Linked DNA regions of Pelodiscus sinensis. The protein of the gene in region 3 purifies or fractionates together with the protein of the main gene of each other region. This does not show direct contact. Links are inferred from orthologs where the notes say so. Each region holds a gene or a part of one and is shown on either strand. Other genes may lie near its edges.

What was found. The genes of interacting proteins can lie anywhere in the genome.
Region 1: the proteins of NCBP3 (region 3) and THOC2 purify together in Homo sapiens (co-immunoprecipitation; 3 studies listed by BioGRID and IntAct, with this or other methods). This does not show direct contact. The link is inferred for Pelodiscus sinensis from reciprocal best matches to the Homo sapiens genes NCBP3 and THOC2.
Region 2: the proteins of NCBP3 (region 3) and THOC5 purify together in Homo sapiens (co-immunoprecipitation; 3 studies listed by BioGRID and IntAct, with this or other methods). This does not show direct contact. The link is inferred for Pelodiscus sinensis from reciprocal best matches to the Homo sapiens genes NCBP3 and THOC5.

The regions. Positions count from the first base shown.
Region 1 is NC_134723.1:32,406,154-32,413,233, forward strand, and holds the start of THOC2 (THO complex subunit 2), read left to right. Parts: upstream 1-4,008; 5' UTR 4,009-4,091; coding exon 4,092-4,159; intron 4,160-7,080. UniProt on the Homo sapiens protein: Component of the THO subcomplex of the TREX complex which is thought to couple mRNA transcription, processing and nuclear export, and which specifically associates with spliced mRNA and not with unspliced pre-mRNA.
Region 2 is NC_134725.1:5,322,130-5,329,593, forward strand, and holds the start of THOC5 (THO complex subunit 5), read left to right. Parts: upstream 1-4,392; 5' UTR 4,393-4,767; coding exon 4,768-4,863; intron 4,864-5,505; coding exon 5,506-5,649; intron 5,650-6,633; coding exon 6,634-6,747; intron 6,748-7,271; coding exon 7,272-7,369; intron 7,370-7,464. UniProt on the Homo sapiens protein: Component of the THO subcomplex of the TREX complex which is thought to couple mRNA transcription, processing and nuclear export, and which specifically associates with spliced mRNA and not with unspliced pre-mRNA.
Region 3 is NC_134731.1:14,838,666-14,845,715, forward strand, and holds the start of NCBP3 (nuclear cap-binding protein subunit 3), read left to right. Parts: upstream 1-3,971; 5' UTR 3,972-4,103; coding exon 4,104-4,250; intron 4,251-5,528; coding exon 5,529-5,594; intron 5,595-7,050. UniProt on the Homo sapiens protein: Associates with NCBP1/CBP80 to form an alternative cap-binding complex (CBC) which plays a key role in mRNA export. NCBP3 serves as adapter protein linking the capped RNAs (m7GpppG-capped RNA) to NCBP1/CBP80.

The sequences.
Region 1 (7,080 bases), on a different chromosome or scaffold from region 3:
GCACAAAAAAGAAGGTTCAGTCTGTTGCAGAGCTGACTGGCATAACAGGAATCAAAACCCAATTTTTCATGAAGGCACCTCTGGTTGCTGAGGATGTGATTCCAGAAAAAGTATAGCGTGTGTCTTTCCCCACCCTGTATTTTACTGAAATTGTCTTTTTTCCTTATTCATAACCGGCTTTTTCTCTTTGTTATAATGTATCTTTTTTACACCTAATTGTTTTTGATTAACTGCATTTGTCTCTGATAGTTTTTCACTTAAAGTGGTGATGGAGCAAGGCTAGACAACTAATTATTTTACTTCACTGGCTATCCACGGCAGGACAACTGCCTCCGATTTGAATGGATCATCTCCAAGACGTATTATCACCTATCTGGTGACTAACTCTGCACTGATTAGGCCTCAGCTGGAGTACTGTGTCCAGTTCTGGGCACCACATTTCAAGAAAGATGGGAAGAAATTGGAGGTCCCGAGATGAGGTACAAAAATTATAAAAGGGCTAGAAAACATGAGCTATGAGGCAAGGCTGAAGGAATTGAGCTTGTTTAGTTTAGAAAAGAGGAGATTGAGAGAGGACAAGATAGTGGTTTTCAAGGATCTAAAAGGGTGTCACACGGAGGGAGAAAAATTGTTTTTCCTGGCCTCTGATCACAGAACAAGAAGCAATGGGCTTAAACTGCAGCAAGGGACATACATCTAGGTTGGACATTAGGAAAAACTTCCTGTCAGAGTAGTTAAACAGTGGAATAAATTGCCTAGGGAAGTTGTGGAATTTCCATTTCTAGAGATATTTAAGAGCAGGTTAGGTAGACATCTATTAGGAATGATCTTCTAAGCAGTGCTTGATCCTGCTGTGAGGGCAGGGGACTGGACTCGATGACCTCTCAAGGTCCCTTCCAGTTCTAGTATTCTATGATTCTAGTTAAGATCTGGATTAGGCTTGTAAGAGATGCTGTGGAAGTGCCATCACTGAATTTTTAAAAAAACAGATTGGATAAACATCTATCAAGGACGGTTTAGGAGTGCATAGTCCTACTCAGTGAGGCAGGCTGAACTAGATGAGTTCTTAAGGTACCTTCCAACTCTACATTTTTATGATTTTATGAACATTTTGGGTCCTCTTTATTGAAAAAGCATCCAGCTCTGCAATGGCTGAATTTGGTGGGAAATTTACTTTACTACAGGTTGGACCTGCCTGTTCTGACACCCTCTGGTCCTGAGGGGTCCCAAACCCTGGAGTTTGCGAGACCAGGGCAGGTCAAGGCTCCTTTCTTGGCTGTCAGCCCGTCTTGGCCACCGGGGATTCTGCTTCCATCCCCCGCCAGAGCTCAACTTCCCCACTGCTGGCCGTGCTGCTTCTAGCCAACCAGGCTCCCTGGTCCAGCAATATCTGTGATCCTGCCAGAACATGGATGTTGCTAGACCAGAGTATCCTGGATTTTAGAGGTGCAATCTATATTCCATAAGTATAGACTCTGGTTTGTTTTCTATGATTTTGTTTTGTGATGTAACCACTATTTCTTATTACATCTTTATTTTTACTTTAATAAACCTTACTTAGCTTTATTTTAAGTGCTAACAAGTGCTGCATTGTCTGTAGGAATGGTGGCTCAAGATAAAACTGGTAAATTGGGGCTCACTGCACCTTGTTTACATGGAAGGCCAATATTAGCACAATGATGATATATTTTTAATTATTTTATATAAATGTTTTGGCCTTTTTGAAAAAAAGGTAAAAATACCACCTATTTTTCTCTTCATTCATTGCTCCCTTAAATCTATTCTGTTCCTCAGAGGGACACAAAAAAAGTAGCCTTTTTTCAAAAAAAAATTCACCTGCATCTAGACTGCAGCCGCGTTCTTTTGAAAGTAAATCGAAAAAAACCAGCAGTTTTTTCAATCGTGGTAAACCTCATTTTATGAGAAATAATGCCTTTTTTCGAAAGTACCGTTTCTAAAAAAGGCGCTATTGAATGCAAACTGTTCTTTTTCGAAAGAGAGCATCTAGACTCTTTCAAAAAAGCGGCTCCCTTTTTCAAAAAATCTGCTTGTTGTCTAGACGCTGTCTTTTGAAAGAGGCTTTTTTGAAAGATTCTTTCGAAAAAGCCTCTTTTGAAAGAGGCTTGTAGTTTAGATGTAGCTAAAGAGAGCCTCCAGCAAGTACTCCACTGGTAATAGTTTAGGAATTTCCTCTGAGATAATGGCTCAAGCCCATCAGAGACCAAAGACTCTGAATATACTTTAAAAGAAAAAAAAGACCCTGTATTCTTCAAATGTTGAAGTTTGAACTGTGAAACTAAGGCTTAGTCTACACTACAGTTAGAGTGGCATAAGGCAAATTATTCTCACTGATGTAAGTAGCCTGCTACACTAACTTAGGCCTTGTCTATACTATTGCAGACCATCGACTTATGTTACTGCAGTATCTTCACAGCAGTAAGTTGACAGCTGATGCTCTCCTGTCGACTCCGCTTAACTCTTCTGGTTTTGGTGGTGTATCAAGAGTCAACGGGAGAGCGCTCGGTGGTCAATTTATCTAGACATGACAAACTGACCCTTTGCTTACATGATCACTGCCTATTGATCCAGCCTAACATGAAGATATGTCCTTAGTAATTCCACCTCTGCAAGAGGCATAGCTCTTATGTCAATGCAGGATCAGTGTAGACACTGCATTGCTTACATCACATCACATCACCATTTGCTGCCTATCAGAGCCTCACTGCCCGGAACTGACATCTAGAGTTCTGCCACTTGGGGCTGATAGCATAGCAAGTAACTTAAGGTGACTTAATTTTGTAGACCTGCCCTAAGATTTCTGAAATGAAGGGACCATTCTTTCTTTTCAATAGATTTAGAATATAACTATCAACCTATCTGTATGACAATTAACAGATTAAATGACTTTTTACACACAAACAAGTTTTGTAGTCCTTGACTGCAACTCTATCACTGAAACCTACAAATTAATATTACTACTATAAATTCGTATAACAGAGCTACAGAATTAGATAAGTCTTACTGATACCCTTTTGCTAAATATCTCAGAATACATTTATTTTAACAAGTATGTGAAGTCACAGACATATGCATGGATTTTGGCTGAGACTATAAGGGAGAGACATGGGGAAATGTCCCTGCAAACCCGGAGCTATTGATATGGGATAGGTGGAGGCCTGGTGTTGTGGCACATTTGGTGTAAAGTTGCTGGGTACCCAGTGTCCCCAAGACATAGGGGAGGGGGAGTTAGTGGAGAACAGATGTTACCATTGTGATGGGCAGCCTGCTAGAGTTTTTTTTGGAGGGGGTGGGGGGCAGCGATTGATGGTCTGGTGTTATTTGGGGAAGTTGATAGTATTCATTGGGTGGATTGTAGGGATCCAGATGTATTTGGGGTAGATTGGTGAGGTCCAGGGGTTACTGGTGTTTTTGAGGGAAGACTGCAGAGGCCCACCGTATTTGGGAAACGTTGCAAGGTCCTGGTGCATTCATTGAGTGGATGATAGCAGTCTCGTTAATTGTAGGGGGATTGCTGGGCGTCCAGTGTATTTGGGAAACTTGCCGGGGCGGGGGGGGGGGGGGGGGCGGGGATATATTTATAAGATAAATGACAAGGGCTCGGGTGGTGCACTGCAGGAAGGGCTGGAAGTATTTTGGGTGGGTTGCTTGTGGCCCAGCTGTATGGGGGGGGCAGGTGGCGGATGTACTGGAAGAAGGGGCGGGGGCCATGGTGTGACTGGCGGGGGGGTCAGGAGTCACCCCTATATTGGGGGGGCTCAAGTGTTACCAGTGTGGGGGGAGGGGGGTAGCTAGGTACCGGAGTGTCTGGGGGCAGCTGGCGCGGGACTCGCTGGGCCCGGCGTTGTGTAGCCGCGGGCGGGCGCCGCTGCCGAAACTCAGCAGCCGCCCGTGGCCGGTTCCGCGCGCGCAGCGCGGGCTCGGGAGCCGTTCGGCAAGAGAGCGCGCGCACGTTCGTCTCCCAGGCTGCTCTAGGCCCGTTTCCCATCATGCCTGGCGGGAGGGCCGGCCCGTCCCCTCTGACCCCGTCCCGTCGCTCGCCTCATCCGGGCTCTCGGCGCCACACGGGGAAGATGGCGGCGGCGGGGGCGCTCCCTGCCGAGTGGATAAAGAACTGGGAGAAATCGGGCAAGAGCGAGTTGTGAGTGCGGGGCGGCGTGGGGGGAGGAGCGGACCGGGCCGGCGCTGGAGGCTAGGGCGGCCCGCCGGCCGGTCCGTAGGGGCCGGAGTTTGGGGCCCGGTCGGGTGGAGGGGCCGGGAGCTGGGTGGAGGGCAGAGTTCCGGGCTGAGTTCCCCGCACCGCTCCCTAAAGGGCCGAGCGAGCGTCCCCCACCGGCTCGGTGCCCTTTCACCCTGGCGCTCTCCCTTGGGCCTGACTCCTTCACGTCCCCCCTCCCCCGGCCTAGTTGTCCGGGCTCCCGGTGCTCTAGCGCCAAGCGCCCCGTTCCAGGCTTTGGGCCAAGCTCCCCCGACCGTTGGCCCCGTTTGATCGCCCGTACCTCCGCCCCCGCGGCTGTCGGGTTCGCCCGCTTTCCCCTGTGCCGAAGCGTCAGGCGCCCCAGTGTTGAGCGTAGTTGCAAGGGCCTCAGTCCCGAAATTCCTCCATCCGAAGGATTTAACGCCCGCGCTTCTTCCCCGATCCAGCCCAGAGCGAGGATCGTTCATCCCATCAACTCTTCTGTCATGGGCCCTTTGTGTGCCAAGAGAGTTCCGCCCAGCCCTCCCCACAAATCCATTTAGCGCTCCTGGCCTTGGCAGAGAATGATCTTGTCAGTATCACCCTAAGTCCTAAGAGGTGGCCATTCTGGCAGTATGTTGTCCACTGTGTATTGGGATTGCCTCTGATCAGAAGGTTTGATTTGACATTCACAATTTCCTCAACTGAACAATGACTTGGGCTGAAAACTTTTTAATATTGTAGATTAATCGGAAGAGTTCTTAAAAACTTTAATTTATTTGCTTTTTTATTAAGAGACACCTTCAAAGTTAAATGTTAAAGACTATTTTGTGGTGCATTTCAATGAGACATAGTATTCACATCATTAATTTTCCTTCATTTGGTATAGCTGTACAGCCCTCTGAAACAGGATGAGAAGAACGGGTGAGGTAGATGGAGAATGTAGAGGCCTTCTACATTACCATTCTTCCCTTGACCTTTTTCATTAGGTAGTGGAAGAGGGAAAGCCTTGTTGTCAGTGCCCTTGCATCATGATACAGGCTTGACATAACCGTGGCTTAAACATGTTTTGATCTATACTAAAAACTAGACTGTATTATGACCAAATAATCAGCTATATAGTAAGTCACCTGACAGTAATAACTGCAGTATAGATGAGCTTATAAAGAAATGTATGTTCAAACTATTTTTAAACTTTCCCTGTTTAGGATTCTGTGTTAACAACTGAATTCACAAAAAAATTTGAAAGATATAGTCAGTAAATAGATTGTTAGCCAGTGTCTATACATTTTTGTAGAAGAATAAAATATATAAATATATTCGTTCAGTATCTATTAAAATATGTAACTAAGTGTAGGTCACTAAACAGTATTTTTTTATATAGTATAGCCATGGTGTCCAACCAGTTTTGAATCAGTAGCCACTCTCATGACTTAGCCACACTCAACTGGCCAAATTGGCACATTTTTCAAGCCAACTAGCCACACTCAACTGGCCAAATAACCACATCTGGCTAGTGGCTAGCATGTTGGACACCATGGTAGTAGAGGTTTGACATAAAAAGGATGTATGTCAGGACTTACCTTTTTTGTGTGTGTGTGTGAGGTTATTACTTCTATCTGAGTTAGGAAGCTGTTCAATATGATTAATTTTGAAAAATACCTTATGACAGGTAATACAGAGTTAATTTTGAAAGATAATTCATAGTTGATTGTGTAAAGATTTGTGCAGAGAAAGGGTGGTGTAGCTTAGCCTTTGGCTATTGTAGGATTCACACAGGTCAGCTAAACCACTTTCTAACAAAAGGCCAAGTATCTTAAAATGTTACACAAAAGTATTGTAATCCAGTCTTTGAATCCACAATCTTAAAAAACAGAAAAGAGTATACATTCATTTTGGTTCATTCATTTTGGCTTATCCAGTAGTGTTACTAGGTTAGAAGGGACAGTGTGTAAACCCTGTTTAAGAATAATTCCCAGACAGCCTGATTTAAACAAGAGGCTGTAAATTGCCAGTGAAGTGTGACTCTGTGTGTGCATAACAGCTGTCAGTTTTTGCTGAAACATTTTTATAAATCTTCTAAACCTACATATTAAATCTTTTAAAAGTAAAAAATTGTATCCGTATGAACCATTCCAAAAGATTTTTTGCACACGTAAAGACTGGCTTTCCTAGAAGTAGAAACTGAACAATTTTGCTAGAATTTTTGTTCTGAAATACTAACAAATCTTTGTGTTAATAAACAAAAGCAACCATTGATTGCATTTTTAGATGTCAAAATGAAATACATCAACATATTTTGTACCAGTTCTAGAAATGAAGAATTAGAAGCTTAGAAAGGATGCAAAGTGTTTTGCAGAAGGCCTAGAAAGATGATATTCCAGATCTAAGCAGTTTGCAATATAAATTAAACACATAGGACAATTAATAAAGTTGATAAACTCTGGGAAGGATATGAGCTGTAGAAGGACAACACCTGTAATTCTAGCGACTAAAGCCAAGTGACAGTTCTTAGCAAAACTTGTTTTACCCATCTTTTTCATTGGGGGCAAGCTCATTTTTAGACCAATGTTTAGTTTTTAAGTATGCTGGGGCTGGCCAGAACAGAAGCAACATACCAACTTTCACTCAAATAAAACCAGTAAATGTATTGGTAACAATTTGTGGTTGATAAGAAAAAAAGGTGAAAACAAATAAGAACATTCGCTAACTGCTGTTAGTGTAGGGTAACTTATGTGATCCAAAAAGATAAGAGTCTGAAATGATATAGTGGCGAAGTTATTAGTTATCTTTAGTAAAGTATTATTTTATAATTTGGGATCATATAAATTGCCCTAATGAAATATTAAATAGTTCATCTTGTTTAGTATTTTGATTCCTGGCTA
Region 2 (7,464 bases), on a different chromosome or scaffold from region 3:
GCCCCCCTGTGTCCAGTGACCCCGCCCTGCCCTCTGTGAGGTCACTGCCCCCCTGTGTCCAGTGACTCCGCCCCGCCCCGCCCTCTGTGAGGTCACTGCCCCCCTGTGTCCAGTGATCCCACCCTGTCCCCTGTGAGGTCACTGCTGCACCCGTGTCCAGTGGTCCCGCCCCCCGCCCTCTGTAAGGTCACTGCCACACCCCTGTGTCCAGTGACCCTGCTCCACTCCCCCACCCTCACTCGCTGGGGCAAAGGGTTGGGCGGAGGGGGAGGGAAGGCTCTGATGGGGGGGCCCAGAAACTAGGCCTTGGGGAGCAGCGAAAGGCTCTGGGTGCAGCCAGACATGAGGGGTCCAGGTGCGGGAGGGGCGCCGGGCTGGGGAAGAGATGCCGGAGGTGCGCAGGGCCCTTGGTACCGCATCCAATTCTCTGCCATTCCCAGGGCTCAGACGTAGCCTCTCTCTGCGGCTCTGTGGTAATGGGCCCTCCGATCGATCCCAGCCATGGGCAGATTGTTCCCATGCATGTGTGGAATAAATGTGATGTGCACTGATGCACGCCGGAATGTGCACCACCAGTAGGAAGCCCCCTCGCTGTGGGTGTCTGCTAGTCAGCTGGGCCGCACTTCTAGGGAGACACGCGCTTTGCTTGAGGGCCGGTCAGACTCGAGCCCTCTGGGGGACACAGGCAGAGATCGGACACGGGAACCCCAGCGAGAGAATCCGACCGAGGAGTTCACAACCTCCGAGACGTCCGAGGGCTGCCCGGGGGAGTCTGTATCTGCAACCACAAGGAGCAGGGCGGGGGCACCTTCCACGCTGTCTGTGCGGCCCCAGGATTCCCCGTGGTTCGTGTCAAAGGGCCATAGCGCACTAGAACGGGAAGGGAATTCGAGAGGCATCGAGTCCCGTCCGCTGCCTTCCCGGCAGTGTAGCCCATCCCTGACAGCCTGCCCTTCAGTATCTGCAGCCTCCCTCGGCAACGTATCCCAGTGCTTGGCCGTTTTCCCGAAAGTCCAACCTCAACCTCCCTCGCTGCAGCTTCAGCCCCTTGCTCCCTGTCCTGTCCTCAGAGGCCAAGCACCATTTCCCCCTCCTCGTGACACCCTTTGAGATACTTGAAAAGCGCTCTCATGCCCCGCTCAGTCTGCTCCTTCCAAACGAAACCAGCCCAGTTCTTTCAGGCTGCCCTCGGAGCTCCTTCTCTGGACCCTCTCCAAGTTCTCCACCTCGCTCTGAAATGTGGGGCCCAGCACTCCAGCGGGGCCTGATCAGCGCAGAGCCGAGCGGGAGAACGGCTTCCCGTGTCTTGCTCCCCACTCTCCTGTCAAGGAGTTTCTTGCCAGATGAAATGTCACCTTGAGAGCTGGGTCTGCACCTGGTGCTACTGGCGGCACTGGAGCAGGGCCCGCCTCTGGGACACTCCTGGGATGCAGTTTCCAGGGATATGAGGGTGTGGTTTCCTGCCTCTCAGCTAGTGGTGGCCGCTCTTTCAATCTGGCTGCAGGCGAAGGCCTTAGGCCAGGGCTGGGCAAGACGCGGCCCAGAGGCCGGATCCGGCCCGCCTAACACTTTGATCCGGCCCACAGATGGCATATGGCCGCCTTCCATTTAGATCCGGCTGCCCAGGCCACCGAATTTCCCAGCGGTGGCTCAGATGGCTGGATCTGGCTCACTGCTCCCAGTCGCGGCGCTACCCTGGAAGGGGCCGGAGCCGCGAGCCCTTTAAATAGCCGCAGCAACCTGAGGCGGCTGCCAGGCAACGCGATAGCGGCACGGCCGGGAGCCACAAGCCCTTTGCTGTGTGTTGAATTCAAAGCCTCTGGCCCCGGACAACTCTGGGGGAAGGCTAGTCCCCAGCCCCGCCCCTTGCACCCCAGGCCCCGCCCCTTCCAGAGGGTGGAGCCAGCCCGCAAACCACATTCATTGATTGGCCCCCCTGCAAAAATTATTGCCCACCCCTGGTGTCAGAGGTGGTAAAGCTGTTAGCTTATAAGAAGCACAAAGGGTTTGTATCGGAAGAAAAGGCCAAGCGCCGCATTGATTGAGAACGCAGTGGCACGGCGGTTAGCAGATGCTCATACAAGGGTTATAGACAGACACACCCCGTGTACACGTTCTTTTATTATTTTATGTTCTGTGTACTACTTTATGGCTTGTGGATTGATTATGGGAGGAGCAGGGTTGTATCGGTTTGGATCAGTGCTTTAGTTATGGCAGGACGGATTTCCTTTTCAAGCAGAACGGTTTTGTTATCATTGTTTTTTTGAATTGGGATTAGTGGGTTTTGCATTGTTCAATTGTTGGGGCTTTTTGACGGGTGTTTGTTATTTGTAGTTGGTTTTTTGTAGTTGGTTTGGGAGGTTTTTTGTTTTAGCTGGTTTTGATTATAAATATTTTGTTTTAATTGATAGGGGCTTGTTTTTTTCCAAGCTGTTGATTTGCTCGCTGCTTGTATTTTGAAGGGGATCTGGAGCAATTTTTGGCGCTTTTCCATTTGTGTTTGGCTTTTTCCAGAGCATTTGGCTTTTCTGTGCATTGTTAACGTGCACATTGTTCAGTTTTAGAAAAGAGGGTTGATTGTTGTTCAGAGAAGCAGCGTTTCTGGTAGAGAAGCAGTGTGCACATTCAAACAAGGACGTTACATTGCAATTTGAAGAAGGGTGTTTGTTGTAAGCCTAAAACAGAACCGTGTCCATCAGGTTCTATTCCTGCGGTGGAACCAGCTCTGGACACAGTGCTCTGGCTGGTGCACCTTTACCAACGGTAAGGTCAAGGTCCTTTCTGCATTCGAGAGGGTGGCTGGCAAAGTACACCGAGGCCCAGGACTTTGCATAAAGCTCCATTTTAGCTCCATGGCTACAGAATGTGCCAATGGTTAATTACCCGCACAGTAAACAAAATCTGTGCCTTGTTTCTTCTTTTCGTTTGTTCAGCCTTGGCTTCCAGCCGTTGGATTGCTCGGAGCCTTTGTCTGCTAGACCCTAAAGCTGCCCGACTTAGTAATCTCTTTCCCAAGTAGGGTGTTCTAGACCTTGCCCTCTTCACCTTCTCTCGGCTAAGCCGCACAGACTGCGCGTCTCTAATCTCCCATTGGGAGGTGGCTCTCCTGACCTCGGATCCTCCTTCTCGCTCTCGCCTGACACCTCTGCAACGTGTCCACGTTCTTTCGGAAGCCTGGGCCCCAGGACTAGGCAGCTACCGAGATGTCGGCGCGAAGGCCGTGCACGGTGTCCTACTGCTTACGCACCCCAGGTCCGTTAGACCTGCCGGCCAGCGCCATGTGCCTCGATTAGAGATACTGGCCTCCGCGGTGCTCGTTCTGGCCACAGGCTATTTCGAAATAACCTCCAAATCAGCCACACAATTTGGGGAGCTTATTTCGCGGTCAGGGCGCTGTGCAGACGCACCCTGAGTGTCCTTGTTGCGTGCAGCGGGGGGGGGCTTGCACAGGCCCGTGTTTGATTTTAGACCCGTCCACGTGCTAGACCAGGAGTAGGCAGGCGCAGGGCGCACGGCTGGGGGCCCTTGCCGAGTCCCCGGCAGGGCTGAGCGCTGCGCCCGGGTCGGGGGTCCCAGCGCCGTAGCTCCCTCCAGGAGCTGGGGGGTTCCTTGTCCTGAGGGGGGTGGCGTCAGCCCCACAAGGGACACCCTTCCCGCCACGGCTGGGAACGCCACGTGCAGCAGTGCCTGGCCCCGCCCACACCACCCTGAGGAGGGCTACAGCGGCCCCGGGCCCCGCCCCCAGGCGTAGGGGGCGTGTCCGGTGCGTGGAGGGACCTGCGGCCCCGCCCCTCGCAGCTCCGCGGCGGGCCGGCAGGGGGCGCGCTGGGCGCCGGACGCTCTAGCCCCGCGGGCCGCGCTCGTCTCCTCCGCCGCCGGATTTCCGCTGCGCCTGGCGGGCCGGTGAGCGCGGGGGGCCTGGGGCTGCCGGGGCGTTTGGCGGGTTGCGGGGGGGGCCGGGGGTTGGCGGGGGGGGCCGGGGCCGGGGAGGTTGCGGGGGGGGCGGGGGAGGCTGCGGGGGGGGCCGGGGCGGGGGGGGCCGGGGGAGGGCGGTTGGCGGGGGGGGGCCGGGGAGGCTGCGGGGGGGGCCGGGGCAGGGGGGTTGGCGGGGGGGGCCGGGGAGGCTGCGGGGGGGGCCGGGGCAGGGCGGTTGGCGGGGGGGGGCCGGGGAGGTTGCGGGGGGGGGGCCGGGGCAGGGAGGGTTGGTGGGGGGGGCCGGGGAGGTTGCGGGGGGGGGCCGGGGCAGGGAGGGTTGGTGGGGGGGGCCGGGGAGGCTGCGGGGGGGGCCGGGGCGGGGGGGGGGAGGGGAGGCTGCGGGGGGGGGCCGGGGCGGGGGGGGGAGGGGAGGCTGCGGGGGGGCCGGGGCAGGAGGGTTGGCGGGGGGGGGGGCCGGGGAGGCTGCGGGGACAAGGCCCCCGGGAGGCAGGGAGCCCCTGGGCCGGGCCTGGTGGGGAGCAGGGCAGAGTCCCGGGGCCTCTCCCGGGCGCGGGGGAGGTTCGGGGCCGAGCCGGGGAGGCCGGGATGCGGGGGGACCGCGGGAGGGGACCCCTCCTAGCCTCTGCGCTGGGGGTGACGTTGGTTTGAGGAGGGGAGACGATCGATCGGCGCAGGAGGCGCAGTGCCGAGGGGAAGCAGGGCAGAGTCGCCCCCTCCCACGGCAGCACGGGGTCTCTGACAGTCGCTCCCATTTGTTGCAGAGGCTTCGAGGGGCTCCCGTTTGGAGACCAGCTATTTCTGCTCTCCCGTCCCAGAGCCCGTGAAATAAGAATGTCGTCTGATTCGAGCAAGAAGAGGAAACCCAAGGTCATCCGCACTGACGGGGCCCCCCAGGAGAGCAAGCGGGGCAGGGTGGACCCTGATCAGGTGGGCTAATGATTGTCAGCCTGTGGCAATCCTGCGGCGGATCAGATGCTGTCGGGCTGGCAGGAGTGCAGAGGCGAAGCCGTCAGTGCTTTGTTCGGAAAGCTCTTGACATCACAAAAGCATCACCCTGTTCGTCCGCTCTGTTGTAAGGGCGAGCATCTCAAAAGCACCCGGGATTAGCTTTCCGCTGCTCGTACTCAAGTCAATGAGGTTATTACCATTGGCTTCAGTGAGCCAGATGCCAGGCCCGATCCCCAGCATCCCGAGCAAAGAAGGGTTATGACCCTGGGAACCAGAGTTGCATCTTATGCTCTCTGAGTGATTTTATCACTGTTGCAAGTTTGCACTGGCCCCCCAAAGCTCTCGGGGTGTTTTTAGAAGCCCTGAAAAGCTTGAGGGGCAATGGGCGTAGGTGGAGCCTGTCTTTCATCTTGTCTGCTCATTGAAAGAACTTTGCTCGCTGCTCTTTTTCCTCTCCTGCTTGTCAGCCTAGTACCAATATGGGATGGGACCTGATGCTGGTCTCTGGGGACACTGTAGTGCTACTGTGAACCCACTAGACAAGCAGGCCCCTGGTGGAGTGAGGCGAGCAGGGGGTTTGTTGCAGTGTTAAGTGCCGCTCTGTATTTCTGCTCTTTGCAGGATGTGAAGTATTACAGTGAGGAGGCGGAGGTGGAACTCCGAGATCCCAGCAAAGACTATGAACTGTACAAGCAAACCTGCCAGGAGCTTCAGAGGCTCATGGCAGAAATCCAGGATCTGAAGAGCAAAGGCAGCAAAGACAGCGTAAGAAGGAGCTTTTCTCCCGAGCCCTTTCAAACACTTTCTGCTGCTGCGCGAAAGCAGTGGGTTTGAAAGCCACATGGCGTCCTCAAACGGGGAAGGGGTTTGTAATGGTCCCAGCAATAGCAATGAAACGTAAGGACTGAATAGCTCAGGAGAGCGGTGCGGGGACAGGAGACCTTCTCCCAGAGAGCGAATCCAGCCTAGGTTATTGGTTACCCCTGCCTGGCGCTTGCTTGGGGGCCTGCGAGAAGCGAGTCAGGGTCTAGTTCGGCAGGTGTTCCCATAGCAAGTGGACTGTAATGAGCGAAGAGCATGGAGCTTGAACTCCCCTCTTGCCGCCGTGGGGCAGCCGTGTCAGATCAGCGCTGAGACTTAGGGTACGTCTAGACTACATGCCTCTGGCGACAGAGGCATGTAGATTAGACTACCAGGCATAGGAAAATGAAGCAGCAATTTAAATAATCGCCGCTTCATTTAAATTTACATGGCTGCCGTGCTGAGTCGATCAGCTGTTTGTCGGCTCAGCGCGGTAGTCTGGACGCGCGGGGGTTGACATCAAAGGCATTTGTCGACCTCCCAGGTATGCCTCATCCCAGGAGGCTTTCTGTTGCAGAAAGCTGGCGGCACCGCTGCCCACGCTGGGCCTTTTCTGTAGCAGGAAGGAGAGCTTCAGCGCGGGCTATTGGGCTAGCAGCTATCACTGCTCCTAAGAGGATGGAAACGAGGGTGCACCATTGACTAAACTCTGTGCCTCCAGCGCAGGGTTGAGCCACCTGATAATAGCCAGGCTGCTCTGGTCGCTGAAAGGGTTAAACCCGAGAGAAGGATGTCATGAACCTGGCCCCGGAGCCAGAATGAGCCCAGGAGGGATTTGGTGATTCCCGGGCTAAGGAAGAGTGGGTGTGTGTGTGGGGGGGGGGGGGGAATACATGTCTGTGTGGCCAGCGACCCAGCTCCTTTACCTGCTGCCTCCTCCCCTCTCAGGCAGCTGCCATCGAAGAGCGGCGGATCCAGAGCTGCATGTACTTCATGACCCTGAAGAAACTCAACCGTCTGGCTCATATTCGGCTGAAGAAGGGGCGAGATCAGACCCATGAGGTACCGTGAGGCCAGCGATTGAAAGGACCGCCCCCTGGCTGGGAGGGGCCTACCCGAGTCCACACAGGGTTCCAGCCACAGGTCTATGGAGCAGAGGCTTCCTGGGAAACTCGGCTGCCGACACTGTAATAGCCACAATGAATGAAAACGCGGCACCAGTTTGATTCGATTCTCACCTGGCACCTCCTGGTCGCCCCACAAGGCCATTGTGCACAGGCTGGGGGTGGGGTGCCAGCCAGTGTCCCTGAATCTCCTGGGTTTCACCATTCCCGAAAATCTGCCTTCTCTGGCTGGCAGCCTTGATCTCTTGCCATCTGCTCTGAGGGGTGTGGTGTTGCCGGCATGCTTCCCGGGGCGACCGGCCCGTCACAGCAGCCCCTGCGCATTGCATGGGATCATGATTAGCCGGTTAAACGTTCCATTGAACTGGTGGACTTTTAACTGGGATTTCCCATCCCTGGTTGCTCTTCTTTTTGGCTTCATCTGCACTGAGGTTTTCATGCTCCCCGCTGACGTTCTTTCAGGCAAAGCAGAAGGTAGACGCCTATCACCTGCAGCTCCAGAACCTACTCTACGAGGTGATGCATCTGCAGAAGGAGATCACCAAATGCCTGGAGTTTAAGTGAGTACTCAAGGGGGCTTAGGGAGGGTCCGATTCCTCGAGTCGCAAGGAGAGCCTAGTTCCAGTCGCTGAAGGATCACGCGAGCCCTGTGAAT
Region 3 (7,050 bases):
GCAGGGGAGGTTTAGATTGGACATTAGGAAAAAATTCCTAACTGTCAGGGTGGTCAAATATTGGAATAAATTGCCAAGGGAGGTGGTGGAATCTCCCTCTCTGGAGATATTTAAGAACAGGTTAGATAGACATCTGTCAGGGATGGTGTAGACGGAGCTTGATCCTGCCTTGAGGGCGGGGAGCTGGACTCGATGACCTCTCGAGGTCCCTTCCAGTCCTATTATTCTATGATTCTATGATTCTATGGACAGTAATTGGCAGGTGCTACACACCCTGAGAAATATACTCGCATATTGTGTGCAACTGAGCAATAAATTACAAACATTGCAAACATACACACCTCAGCAGCAATACAAAGTGACTGTAGACGAAAGAAATGTTGCTTTTCGAGTACCTGAGAGATCAGGGAGAAGGGAAAACAAAATATTGGTTTTCATCTCCTAGTCTTGATTTCCTTAGTATGACTAATAGCAAGAAACTTTATTGCAATACCAAACCATGTCATAACATGATAAGGGCAGAACAATGTAACAGCTGCACTCTCTAACATAGTTGTAATCATCATGTAGAAAATGCCGTAGCTACAACTCAAGAGTGCTCTGATCAGAACACATTTGGATCTTTTTCAACAGCTTTCAAGTCCCTATAAGGTTGTTACAAGGAGGAGAGAGAAAAATTGTTTTCCTTAACCTCTGATGATAGGACAAGAAGCAATGGGCTTAAATTGCAGCAAGGGAGGTTTCGGTTGTATGTTAGGAAAAATTTATTAATTGTCAGGCTGGTTGAGCTCTGGAATAAGTTGTCTAGGAGGTTGTGGAATCTCCATTATTGAAAAATGTTAAGACCATATTAGACAAGCACTTGTCAGATGGTCTAGCTCCTGGGTGGGAAATAATTTTTGATGGGGGGCACTCCAAGATTTTGGTATATGGTCAAGGGTCTATGGAGGGGTTGTGGGGTCTGGGATGGAGGTTAGATGCAGAGGGAGCTTGGGATTGGGGTGCAGGAGAGGGTGTGGGGTCTGAGAGGCAGTTAGGGTGAAGCTAAGGGTTGTGATCTGGAGCAAGGGGTTGGGTGCAAAGTTCAGGAGGGGATATAGGTGAGAGAGGATTCTGGCCTGGGATAAGGGTGTAAGGGGTGTGCAGGGTCTGACAGTTGTGACTGGGGGCACGTGTGTGTGTGTACGCAGAGTGTTTTGGTTGTGATCTGGAGCAGGAGGTGGTGGTGACCTGGGGCAGAGAGTTGGGATGCAGAAAGGACTGGGATGCCAGAGATAGGCTCTTGATGAGAGGTACTTACCTAGGCAGCTCTCAGCCAGCATCCCAGAAGGACCTTCAGGCAGGTTCCCTGCCTGCTGCAGCCCCAGGGTTCAGAGCAGCTGGCTGCTTCATCTGCTTCCATGCACCAGAAAGGGAGGGGGGAAGCTTCATGCACTGCCCCTGCCCCCAGCATAATCTTTCAGCTCCCATGGGCCAGAACCAGCCAATGGGAGCCAAGAGATAGTACTGAGCGCTTGGGTAACCAATTAGAACCGACCAATGGGAAGTGAAAGATTGTGCTGGGGCAGGGGGAGCACACAAAGAATCCTCCTCCTTCCTCTCCTCACTGATGCAGAGAGGCAAATGGAGCAGCCAGACACTCAGAGCCTTGGCTGCCCTGTCCCATACACTGATGTTAGACTAGGACTGAATCCTGCTTAATGGAACACAGGTTCAACACCTGCACCATCTCTATCACCATGTATTAACCCAGTCAAATAAAATAGCTGGAACAACTAGGCTACGTCTACACTGGCCCCAAATTCCGGAAAAGGGATGCAAATCAGGTAAGTCAGGATAGGGAAATCCGCGGGAGATTTAAATATCCCCCGCGGATTTAAATAAACATGTCCGATGCTTTTTTTCCGGCTTGGGGAAAAGCCGGAAAAAAAGCATCTAGACTGGCGCGATCCTCCGGAATAAAGCCCTTTTCCGGAGGATCTCTTATTCCTACCTGAGAAGGTAGGTTGGAGGGGTTTTTCTTTCTCACTTGTGTGGTTCCCAACTTATTTTTGTGTGTGTCAGTGGCCCCTACCCTAAAAAAGACTCCCCACCCCTTCCATAAATAAAGACAATGTTGAAACTTTTTTGTGTTGGACATAATATTTTACTTAATTTAAAATGAAGCCTGGCCAATAACGCTCCAATTGGGACCCAGCCCCCATCTGGCTGCAGCTTTCTGTCCCCGGCCTCCATCTTGGGACAGGCCTCGACTGGCCTCAGAAAGGGCTGGTGGCAGCTCTCCCCCCCCCCCCCCCCCCACTTCAGGATGGGTAAGAAGAGAGACCACAATCCAGCTGGGGGTTGGCAAGCATACCAAGATCTGAAGCCCTCTTAGTGGTAATATTAAATTAAGATTATCTGCATGAGGAGATGACCATACTGCCATACTGTGACTGAGTCCCTGGACACTGTAGCGTTTTAGGGGTTTTTTAGTTTTTTTCAGAGGGCCCACAGGGTCTTCCCAGGGAATTTATTATTTCCCCAAGAATATACACATGGATTTATACCAATGCTTCAGATTGCGCAAATAAACCCACTATTAGCCTTTTGAGGACGACGCTAAAGTTTAGGTCAACAGAGCCATAGCGCTAAAAAATTGACACTCATGAGCACTGCAGCTCTGCCAACCTACACCTCTGTGGTCCCCTGGTGCTGTGATATCACAACATGACCTGGTGCTCTCCATAGGGTTGCCATACTTGAACTTTCAAAAAAAGAGAACACTTCTGAGAGGGAGGCTACGTCTAGATTGCATCCCTTTTTCGTAAAAGGGATGCAAATTCGACATATCGCAATTACTAATGAAGCGGGGATTTAAATCTCCCCTGCTTCATTAGCATAAAAATGGCTGCCGCTTTTTTTCGGCACGGAGCTTTGCCGGAAAAAAGCGCCAGTCTAGACGCAGGTCTTTCGGAAAATAAAGCCTTTTCCGAAAGATCCCTTATCCCTCTTAAAATAAGGGATAAAGGATCTTTCGGAAAAGGCTTTATTTTCCGAAAGATCTGCGTCTAGACTGGTGCTTTTTTCCAGCAAAGTTCCGTGCCGAAGAAAAGGGGCAGCCATTTTTATGCTAATGAAGCAGGTGAGATTTAAATCCCCGCTTCATTAGCAATTGCGATACATCTAATTTGCATCCCTTTTACGGAAAAGGGATGCAATCTAGACGTAGCCGGAGTGTATCTGGATCAGTATCTACCAACTCACATATTAATGTGTTATATAGTACAGTGTTTCTCAGCCAGTGGTTGAGAGAACTCTGGAGGGTACATCAACACAACTAAAATTGGAGAAAACTGAATTTTTGTTTTAAGTTTTACAGCGTTTTATTATTTTTGTACTTTTTACACGCCAAAATTTCATCACCCACCTGGCTACTATTAAGTTGTTTAAACAAATGTGTTGCAAAATGGTAGAAAAAAATGTGTGTGTCTGAAAACTATAGGTACTGGGGGTACTTAAAATTTATTTATTTATGTTTTTGGAAAAGGGGTACTTTATAAAAAAAAAAAGGTTGAGAAACACCGATACAGTGTACAACGTGAGTTGGTAGATACTGATACAGATACACTCCCTCTCAAGAGTGCCGCCTTTTGGAAAGTTGGAATATGGTAACCCTATCTCTCGTGAAATGTGCACAATGCTGCCATGACACAATGTTGTGATGCCCTTGTGAGCTGCACTGTATTGTGCTCCCCCTCCCCCCAGGGCTGCAGGTGACCTGCCCGGAGGAATTGTGGGGCGGGAGGGCTGCTCAGGCTCAAGGCTGTAGGATTTTCGACTGTAGGCAGAACCAGACTCCACACAGGCAACTGGCCGCTCTAGCCTCTCCTCTGTACTCTATGCCACTGGAGGACCGAGCTGGTCGCGCTCCCTCCCTGTCTCTATGGCATGAAGAGCGCTCTTGCCGCCGTCTCTATGGTCGTGGCGGCGGCGGCGCGCTGTCCGCCAGCCCGCGTCTCTGTGGTAACGCAGGCCGGCTGGGAGGCGCGGCGCTCCGTCCATCCGGCGGGCCCCTCTCTCTGGTCGCGGCCTGAGGGCGTGTGGGCCGGCTTGGCGGAGCGATGGCGGCCGTGCGGGGCCTGCGGATCTCGGTGAAGGCGGAGGCGGAGGCGGAGCAGCCCCGCGGCCCCGAGCCCGAGCCCATGGAGGTGGAGGAGGGCGAGCTGGAGACCGTCCCCGTGCGGCGCTCGCTGCGGGAGCTCGTCCCGGTGCGGGGACAATGGGGGAGGGGGCCGGGCGCGGGAAGCGGGCGGGGGGGGGGGGTCGGTGCGAGAGGCGGGGCAGGCAGCCCGGGACCGAGGTACTAAAGGGGAAGCCACAGCGACCCCTCAGTCTGAGGCTGAGCGGGGGGGGGGGAGCCCCGGGTTTTCTTCCAGGGGGGACGCTGAGTCTCAGCGCTAAGGGAAACGGTCACTGGGGCGGGGGGGTGACACTGGGTTATCGCCTGGCAGAGACTGGACCCGCTTTGCTGCGGGCTTGTGAACTCCCCAGCGCTAACTGATGACAGCGGAAACCCTGTTTTATTCCCCCCCCCCCCCCCTTCGCCCTGCACGTCGCTCTTGTGACATTAATCGGGCGATTTCACGAAACAAAGGCAGGGCTATTTGGGGAAATGGGACTAGACTCAAAGGTGCGAAGAGGCTTACAAGTGACTTTCTGTTTAATACAAAAGTGCAGATGAATGGTCTCTTGTTCTAAAGGGGACTTGATAAGAGCCTGGTACATTGTCATTTTTAGAGTCTGGTATCTTAAAATAATTTGGTGATAAAAGATTTTTTTCAATTGGAAGACATGGAAGTTAGGCTCATTCTGCATTGGCACAGTATAGACTTTCTGTCTGGGGTGTGAAAAAACACACCTCTCTCACAAGTGTAGCAAGTCTGCAGTGCTGGGGGTCAATGAAGAAACTCTTCCATTGACTTTCCTTACTTTTCTCGTCCACATTAGAGTAGAGAAGTCGATGGCAGACTGCAGTCTATTTGACAGGTCTAAACTGTACACACTAAATCAATGGCTTGTGGATTGATTTCAGGGGGTCAGTATTATAGACAAAGGCTTAGTCAGTGTTGTACACATCTTGGTCAAGAAGATAATGGAGCTTAGATCTTGTCTATACTGTTACTTTACTGCACTTTAACTTTCTTAGGCAGGGATGTGAAAAAACACCCCCAAGCGCAGCCATTAACAGCGCTGTAAAGTGCCATTATAAACAGACTCCCAGTGCAGGGAGCCATGCTCTCCACATTCTGTTAACCACCTCTATGAGGGGAATAGCTTACTTACAGTGGTAGGAGAGCTCTCCCATTGATGGTGCTGTAACCCCATTGCCACAGCTTCACTTTAAACTTACAAGTGCAGACAAAGCCTCTGAGTTCAGAGAAAGTAGAAAGAAATGGTTTTATTTTAGAACTGTTTGCCAGATGAGATTTTATCAGTCTAACTGATTTATTGTATTTTGCCATCATCACAATTCTGCTTTGTTTCAGGACACTAGTAGAAGGTATGAAAACAAAGCTGGAAGTTTCATCACAGGAATAGATGTCACCTCCAAGGTATTATTGTGTTGTGGGTTTTCTTCAGTACTGTTGTCTGATGGGAAGCACTGTTAGTCTTCAGGAATTTCGGAGAAATGGTCATTTTTAGATTCACTTAGACCAGTGATTAGCTTTTTAATGTGTCTTCTGCAGCAGTTCTCTCTCTCTCTCTCTCTCTCTCTCTCTCTCTCTCTCTCTCTCTCTCTCTCTCTCTCTCTCTCTATATATATATATATATATATATATATATATATATATATATAAAATTCCTGTGGGATTGGTCCTGCCTTAGGCAGGGGGCTGGACTTGATGACCTCCTGAGGTCTCTTCCAGCTCTATGATTCTGTGAGTTTATGACAAACTGATGTCATCACATCACAGCTTCCACAGGGTGAGTAGGCACACTCCACCCCTTCCACTCTGGGCCCCATCTCTGGTGTCAAGCTCCACCCACCGCCAGCCCAGCTCTCTCCAGTGGCCACATGGAGAGTTGGCCTGGCGTGCTGCAGCCTGGCCTTTCCTGGACTCCAGGGACTGGTGTGGGCCTGACCTGGCACGCCATGGCCTGGCCTTCACCTGGGATCAAGAGCAGGTCTGGGACTGGGCTGTCACACTGCAGCCCAGCCTTTGCAGAGGGCACTACGGCCCAGCCTTCCCTGGGGGCTGAGGGTATGGCTAAGTCTAGCCTGGTGCGCCACTGGCCAGCCTTTGCCAGGGGCCATGGGCAGGTCTGGGCCTGGCGCAGCTGGCACAACCGAGGGTGGGGGAGAGAAAGGGCCCGAGGTTGGCATGGCAGTGGGGAACAGAGGAGGGGCCCAGCCCGGCATGGCTGCACCCCAGCCCTCCCCAGTAGCTGGGGAAAAAGCCAGGATTGCCTACTCGCTGCAAGAGGGAGGTTGGCTAGTGTAGCTAGCAGTGGATGCAGCCCCCTAGTGTTATTAAAGCACTGTGATTTAATTATTAACCCACCAGAATGCTTTTACTTTGTTATTAACCAATTGTAGTTGATAAATCAATACTTGATTAATCATTTTGCTGTGAGAAACATATATAAAATGAAACAATGTCACACTACTGTGGCTCTTTTGGGCAATGTTGTTTGCTAATTTGGCTCCTAAACCACTGAAGTCTGATTATTACTGACTTCACACACTCTTCTATAATTGTAGACATATAATCCCTGACACACAATATTCTTGTTTTGGTGGTGGGTTGGTAACATTTTTTCTTACGCTGTGATGTCTGTCTTTTGTAAGTTATGAGAAGCCCCAATTTGCAAGTCATAAAATCTACAAAAATAAATAAGCTTTATGAAAATGCTGAGCCAAACACTTCTGTGATTTTACATTGAAAGATTTATTTGTAGACAAAGTTCTTATACTTGCCAAGAATTTGTAATACCGTTTCTAAAAGCTCAGTGCATTTGCCAAAAAAACAAGGAAACTCTGTTGGAATTGCAGTGATATCACTCCAT